Nothobranchius furzeri: one gene and its partner. The protein of the gene in region 1 binds, or shares a complex with, the protein of each later gene. Links are inferred from orthologs where the notes say so. Each region holds a gene or a part of one and is shown on either strand. Other genes may lie near its edges. The genes, in order: bop1 and pes.

What was found.
Region 2: bop1 (region 1) and pes share a complex: the UniProt entries of both Homo sapiens proteins name them as parts of the peBoW complex. The link is inferred for Nothobranchius furzeri from reciprocal best matches to the Homo sapiens genes BOP1 and PES1.

The regions. Positions count from the first base shown.
Region 1 is NC_091759.1:9,339,577-9,343,895, forward strand, and holds the start of bop1 (ribosome biogenesis protein bop1), read left to right. Parts: upstream 1-1,357; 5' UTR 1,358-1,461; coding exon 1,462-1,524; intron 1,525-2,233; coding exon 2,234-2,467; intron 2,468-2,547; coding exon 2,548-2,640; intron 2,641-2,750; coding exon 2,751-2,905; intron 2,906-2,983; coding exon 2,984-3,101; intron 3,102-3,181; coding exon 3,182-3,283; intron 3,284-3,358; coding exon 3,359-3,571; intron 3,572-3,640; coding exon 3,641-3,802; intron 3,803-3,879; coding exon 3,880-3,960; intron 3,961-4,058; coding exon 4,059-4,128; intron 4,129-4,319. UniProt on the Homo sapiens protein: Component of the PeBoW complex, which is required for maturation of 28S and 5.8S ribosomal RNAs and formation of the 60S ribosome.
Region 2 is NC_091757.1:45,266,440-45,269,953, forward strand, and holds the end of pes (pescadillo), read right to left. Parts: intron 2,493-3,514; coding exon 2,362-2,492; intron 2,278-2,361; coding exon 2,152-2,277; intron 1,871-2,151; coding exon 1,686-1,870; intron 1,583-1,685; coding exon 1,440-1,582; intron 1,369-1,439; coding exon 1,201-1,368; intron 964-1,200; coding exon 889-963; 3' UTR 625-888; downstream 1-624. UniProt on the Homo sapiens protein: Component of the PeBoW complex, which is required for maturation of 28S and 5.8S ribosomal RNAs and formation of the 60S ribosome.

The DNA of each region.
Region 1 (4,319 bases):
GGTTCTTTTGGCTCAGCTCACCAACAAGAGCCGGCTCTTTCGGCTCCCAAGTGGCTCCTCAGATTTTCTGTTGGTTGCGTAGAGTACATTTATAACCAAAATAATGCAAAACTTTATGTAAAATGATTTACTAATATAAATAAATGCAACATATCAAATATTCATCATTTCCATGGATTTAATAACTGAACACTTTAAGAAATCTCCACTTTCCGACTGCTGGCGCTCATTTTCTCACCGTCTCCATCGCACTCTCCTCTCTTGCTCTCCTTTTTCCTACTCCTCATTTCCTCTCGTCTCCCGCCACCCGCATGTGCTCTGCTGTGTGTCTGAGTCATCGACATGATCTGAGTCTGATCCTCCCTCTTCCCCGCCCCTACTGCTCTGTGTGTGTACAGTCTGGACACGCAGTTACACATGTTGACCAATCACCTGTAGCTTTCACCAAAGCAAGGGGGGAGGGGGGAGGGGACGGTTCCCAATGACGAGTCGGCTCCCGTCGTTCACTTCAAAGAGCCGGCTCTTAGAGCCGGTTTGTTTGCGACCGACACATCACTAAGATGAATGCCTTTGAAGAATGTATTCTATCTATTTGAAGTAAATGTCGAGCTCAAGGTGGCGCAACAAAACATTATTATTTACACATGATCATTCATATCTGTTTATATCCTCTGGTATTCTGTTTTTTTTTTTATCGTTCCTGGCGCGCTCCGCTCATCGTGTGCTGCGGTGATTTCACCTCACTGACGCAGCATCGAAACGCGCACTACGCTTTGCGGTCAGGAGATCCCTTTGATCTGCTTAGTTCAAAAGTAACTTGTGATGTGAAAAAGTAAGAATCCAGGCAGCAGTTTTTCTGGAGAATTTAGAGGAGATGAAGGACGATGAGAGACAGACAGGACAGGACAATAGTCACATAAAAACAAGAAAACAAAACAACGTGTTGAAAAGTCAAATGTAGGTAGATTTATCTACACTACATGTTTTTACCTGTATAAAACAATAAGTTATACACATGTAATATGTATACATCTGATACAATTCAGATCACCTTCAAAACTCAGTCACACACCCAGGGCCGTTTTAAGGCATTTCGGGGGCTAAGGCAAAACAGAACCCCACATTGAGAGAACTTTCTTCAGATGTGGGCTTAATATCCTGCCTTTAATTCAATGTTAAGAATTTAAATGGGTAGTTATCCTTTTCATTTCATATTTTTACACAGAATTTGCGTAATACACATTTTCACCCGGAGAGGGCGACACAGAGCTGCACGTTTCACCATCACGTGCAACAACATTTTACTCTGCCCCACCCCCTCTCTTTTTAAATTCAACCACATGGGGGCGCTAGCAACAAACGCGCATGTTTCCTCGCTCATAACCTGTGACCCCGAAAGTTTCCCACGTGGTTTTGTAGAGGAGAGTGACGAAAACGTGCAGCTAATCGACCTTAAAAAAGATGAAGAAAAAGGAGAAAACAGACAAAAAGCGGAGTCTTCAGGAAGAGGAGGAGGAACAACAGGTGAGGCGCACTGTCAGCGAGCACGAAGAAGAGGAGGACGAAGTGGACTGGTCAGCAGCTCCCTGTTAGCTGTTAGCAAGGCATCCTAGCAACACTTGGCAGAGCTTTGTAACCCCATGACAGTTTCTAGTTGTTATTATTTGAGGAAAAGAACTAGTCGATGCTCTGACAAACATTTGACAAATTATCCGTCAAAGAGTCATTACTAATACAGAGATGCTGTTTATTTTTATTTATTTTTTCAATTGCTACTTAATGAATGGAGAGTTGACAGCTAGTTTCAAGTAAAGATTGACCTGATGAGGGCTAAACCTTGATTTTTTATTTATTTATATATTTCCTGCTCCAGATTATTTAATTTATTTCGTATTTCTTGCTAACAGATCCAAAAACTAATACAGCAAATATATTTGAAGTTGTTTAAACTTTAGTACTGGGCAAACATCAACAGAAAATGATCCTACTGATCACATTGTAACGTGTTTTAGTGTAGAATTACCTACTCAGACAGTTCAATGTCAGACCTGAGAATCCTTTTTGTCCTAGATTTATTTAGATCACTGTAATAATTGTCAGCTCTGTGATGTTGTCCTTTTTGCTTTCTCCAACAGAATAACATATATAAATAGCAACAATTCCCGTTTTGTATATTTTATTGGTTTTTGGCTACAGACAAGAGTCTTGTGTGACATGTTTTACTCTACCTCAGCTCTTCAGCTTGAACGACAAACCGTTTAAGGAAGATGAGGATGATGATGATTTATCAGACAGCGTGGACAGCGTGTATTCAGGACTGGAGGATTCTGGGAGTGACTCTGAAGAAGAAGAGGATAAAGATGAGGAGGAGGGATCTGATGAGGATGATGATGAAAATGATTCTGCTGCCGATGATGATGATAAAAATGATGAATCAAATAAGAATGCAGAAGATCAGAGTCAGAAGGTAGGACCCACGAATCAGATGGCTTGCTGCTTGTTTTCCCTCTGATCAACATTTAGTCTCTCGTATTTTGGCCTCTGCAGAAAACAGTAAAAAAGAGCAAAAAGAAAGAAGAGACTGAAGAAAAGGACGTAAAGAAAGAAAATGAGTACGAGCATGACAGCTCAGATGAGGAGGTGGGACAAAATCATCTTTAAAACGTCTGTTTTTTGTGCAGTATTGTAAAAATAGTATTTCTCTACCGTTTAAAAGAAGTACTAACATACCAGTTGTGACTGTTCTGTAGGATATCAGGAACACTGTGGGGAACATTCCCATGGAGTGGTACAAAGACTTCCCTCACATTGGCTACGATCTGGATGGGAGGAAGATCTTTAAGCCAATCAGGAACAAGGATGAGCTTGACGAGTTCTTGGACAAAATGGAGAATCCTGAATATTGGTGACCAGGCTAACATAATGCATCATAATCCACACATTTAAACACCGCATGCTAACGTGAACATGAAAATGTCTACAGGAGAACTGTCCACGATAAGAAGACGGCGAGCGACATCGTGCTTTCAGACGAGCAGATAGAGCTGGTGAATCGTCTGCAGAAAGGACAGTTTGGCGACGTTCACTTCAACGAACATGAGGTGAAACTTGGTGTTTAAAGAGAAAGCCAGTAAATATATCAGCAGAATCAGTGAAACCAGGTTTTTTTTTTCTTCCCCAGCCTATGGTGGAATTCTTCAGTAACGAGGTCATGATTCATCCAGTCACAAACAGACCTGCAGACAAACGCAGCTTCATCCCTTCACTGATAGAGAAGGAGAAGGTAAAAGAATGTCTTCATCAGGTCCACCCACCTCCACCTGCCTGATGTTTAACTGTCTGTCACACCTGTCCACAGGTCTCTAAACTGGTGCACGCTATCAAAATGGGCTGGATCAAACCTCGGCGGGTGGAAGACGACAGTAAAGGTCGTTTCTATGACCTCTGGGCCAGCGAGGACTCTTCTATTCTAGCCAAACACAGGATGCACCTTCCTGCTCCTAAAATCCCTCTACCTGGTCACGAGGAGTCCTACAACCCCCCACCAGAGTACCTGTTCACGGACGAGGAGGTCTGTCAGCCGGCTGCTCTTCTTGTTGGTGCTTGATTGCTTCGGTCTAACCCGTCTCACTCTCCACAGAAAGCTCTATGGGAGCAGCAGGACCCATCAGACAGGAAGCTGCCATTTATTCCAAACAAGTACTCGAGTCTTCGTCAGGTTCCGGCATTTTCTCGGTTCATCCATGAGAGGTTTGAGCGCTGCCTCGACCTTTACCTGTGTCCCCGCCAGAGGAAGATGAGGGTAACGGCCCGTTAGGGGGGGGGGGGGGGGCTGATGATGTAACGCTATGACGGAACTGAATTTCTGTCTGCCTGCAGGTAAATGTGAATCCAGAAGATCTGATTCCTAAACTTCCCAAACCAAAGGACCTGCAGCCGTTTCCAACAACTCAGTCCCTGGTAGAATAAACACAGATGCATAAAAACTCTCCTAAAGGTCAGATGAAGTCAAACTTAGCCGTCTGTTGCCTCTGTACCTTTTATCTTCCTGTGCTCAGGTGTATCGAGGTCACAGCAGTCTGGTTCGCTCCATTAGTGTGTCTCCATCAGGACAGTGGCTCGCTTCAGGTGAAAACTCTCATCTCCTGTCTGTTGTCATTTAAATTTATCCCAGGAGAGAATATTTATCACAGCTGTTGATTCACAAATGAATGAAAATACAAATCTATCAAATGTTTTTGACGGCTCCCTTCCAGGACTTTTTCTTTTTATTTATGTTTATGTGACTAAATACTTAATATTTAAAAGATCACCATGGC
Region 2 (3,514 bases), on another chromosome or scaffold:
AAATCCTAACCTGAGGTTTTCTCTTTGTTAACAGTAATTTCAAAGGATTAAACAAACATTCCTGTCTGAGTCTATTTGCCTCTGCATGACAGGATGTGGCAACATGCAGTCACACGGTGCCTTACCCAGTCCAGCTCACGAGCTTCATCTCTCTTTATAATGTAGTCAGGATTCCTAGAAGACACACTAGATCTTTCCAGCTCATCCCACACACACCATGGTGTAGCACAAACACTGCTACTATTGTGAAAGATGGGAGTGCCTTGTCCCTCTGGTACCAGGCTGAGATCCAATCTGGGTGGGCACACGTGGAATGCAGAGCTGGGTGTAAACGAAGGGGTTAAAGGGAGGACAGTGTGTCAAAGTGAGCAAGGACGAGGAGTGATGTGGATGTCGGAGCTGGCCTTTGGGCCACAGCATCACTTATCCACATCAGAAGGCTGGAGGATCGTCATCAACACCCACCGCTTCAGCAAAGAAGCCCTCGCCCCAGTGAACTAATGTAAACTCTGATGGAAAATATTCATAAATACTGCTGATGAGATGTAAAGCTACAAAGAGATGGATAAAATTAACACGCCACCACAAATTCACTAATTTTCATTACCAAATAATACAAGTAGGTAACTTAATACATCATCTTTTTATTTAAAAATGCAAAAGATTTTAAAGCACAGAAATTAAAATGAAGACTTTAAATGATGCAGAACAAAAATGAAGGGAGCTATTTTTACATCAATTACACAAATATGCAGAATCCTGCTTTTCTGTGTTAAAATATGCAGCGTTCATGCACCGAGCAGGGTTCTCCGGTGCAGTCGCAGGGTTTATCACATCAGCCTGTAACCATTCAACACAGAGTCCGTTTGAAACGAGCGTCACGAGAAGTTATTTTCTAGCCTTCTTCTTCTTTGTTTTCTCAGCATCATCGTGTGCTTTCCTCTTGGCTGCCAGTTTGTTGGCCTGTAAGAAGAGATTGATCAGCGTTAATGAATAGACACTTCACACATGCGCAGGTGCATGAACACACACTCTTCTGAGGTCAGTGACCTAAGAGGTCACTGCTAATCTACTTTTATACAAACAGCAACTTAAACAAAGTGTTAAACATTCTTAGATAAAGATTTATTGATAAAAACGTACAAAAACCTAAAATCACAACGTTATCTACGTGAGAGTTCACACTGCGATAACACCCACCTCTCTGACTTTTCTCTTTTTCCCGAACATGATCTTGTCGTAGAGGTATTTTTCTTTTTTCTTCATCATCATAATAGCGAGACGTTTCTCCTCTGCCTTTTCCTCCTGCTCCAGGCGGGCCGGATTCTCTGCCCTCACTTTTCCAGGTGTGACTTTAACCTGCAGGGACTAAAAGCAGAAACCGGGTCAGATTCAGGACATAAAAGACTGGGTAATGCAAAAATCAAACGTGATCCGACCTTGCCCTGAGATTTTTGCTCCTCCATCTTTTTGAGATTCTTTTCTTCTGCTTTTTCCTCTTCATCAACTTCATCATCACCACCTTCCTCCTCCTCCTCGTCTTCCTCTTCCTCCTCATCATCCTCCTCCTCTTGTTCTTGAGCTGCAACAAAATGAAAAAAGCACTTTTTAAGATTCACTTCAAAAGAAAGATTAATAATTTGACACAAAGACTAATAACTCATAGGTCAGCGTCTGACCCTCACCAGGTTTTTCTCCTCGCTGTAGGGCCATGATCCTCAGCTTCTCTGGGGGAACATAGTCCCCTTCCTTCTCCTCCACAAAAGGAGACAGGTGAGGGGGAAGAGTCACCCCAAGGAAATAGTCCTCCACGGGCAGGAGGATTTTGGCGTTGACGCAGTCGTACACCCACTGGGGCTGGACATAATACCTGAAACAAAAATATATAAAAATACTCTTGGTAAGAGGAAAATTATAATAAAGCTTCTCTTTGTTTTCTCTGATCATGAAATAGTAGTGATGAGAATATCTATTTCAAACTGGGTCACTTTGAGGGAACAGAAAGAGATGAAAAGTGACACTAAAGTAAAGGAAACCGAAGCAGACTTCCTGTAATCAGGATCCAGGTGTTTTCATAAAGAAAAGTAAAGTTCCTGATGCTATTAAATAACCTAAAAAGCTAAAAATGATGGAACTGCTAGATTTATCTACCTGTTGATGTACTGTTTGTCAAAATTGGGTCTGTCAACAATCTGGTGTGTGATGGTCTCATCTGTCACGTCAAACGTGCTCCCAATGCTAACAGACTTGTCCCAGGACACCTGGCCACCAAAACACCTGAAAAAGGGAAATTAAAAGTCATAAAAAAAGAACATCAACAGATTCCCAAAGAGATTTAAATGTCCCGTGGCCGAGCCTCACCGGATAATAAAAGCCAGCGACTCTCTGGGAACTTCTCTGTTCAGGAAGATCTTCAGACCGTCAAACAGCTTCTTCTGAGCTTCCAGCTGTTTCTGTTCCTTCTCTCTGGCCTCCATCTTCTCCACGTCCTCCTGGAAAAGATCAATTAGCACAATCGGCCGCGGGAACAATCAACTGTACTCACCTGAGCTAAAACAGGTAGACGACACAAACATGATATATAATAATCAGCAGAAATATCTCAGATTTAAAACCTTAAACAAGTGTACTGAATCCAAACAGAACTAAAACACACATAGAAAACAAGTGTATGCATCACAAAAACATAAGAAGTTTATTAACTTATAAACTATACAAACTAAAACAAGTCAGCTGACATTCTCAGTCATTTTTGTGATGCGGTCCTGATGCAAATGGACAAATCCAGATGTTTATGTGTTTAAAGTCGCTCAGTGAAACTTTAAATTAAAGTAGTTTTGAGGTCGATTCAAAGAATCTTTAAATGTTTTTCTCTCCAAACTTAAATCAGTCAAAAGGAAAAAGGCACAACCATGAACACATTAACCTCTAATCCTCTATTGTAGAAAAACAGTGTTATTCTAATTAAACAGAAGACAAATCATTAACTAACATTATTAGGCCAATTAATTTTCAACCAAAATAGATTTTGTTGCTAAATTATTGCTTTACGTTTCGATCACGGAGCCTGGTTCATGTTTTATGATCAAAATAAACTATTTAAAGCAGAAAAAAGCCCATAAATCACCAAAACACTAGAACACTAATACAGTTATTGCATGAAAACAGCGGTAAAAAACCTGAATGGGATCTTCTTTAGCTGGACTCAAGTTGTTTCTGCACATGTGCATCCGTGGATCATTTTGCTGTGAGTTCAGTTAAAACTTAAGCTGCTGAACTCCAGGTGAGATCTCTTTTATAAAACCTCCCAGAGGAAACATGGAGCTTTTTCTCTGGCAACTCCAAACCAGTCGGGCAAAACAAGCTTTCCAGGTGAGAACAGCTTGTTTGTAGCAACCAGCCATAAAGCAGTGAATCCCCAGTCACACACTGCATCTCCAAACAGGCTCAAAGAAAACAACTTTTAACGCCAGCTCAGGCTAAAAACTCAGATACCATTTTAAACATTTTCAAA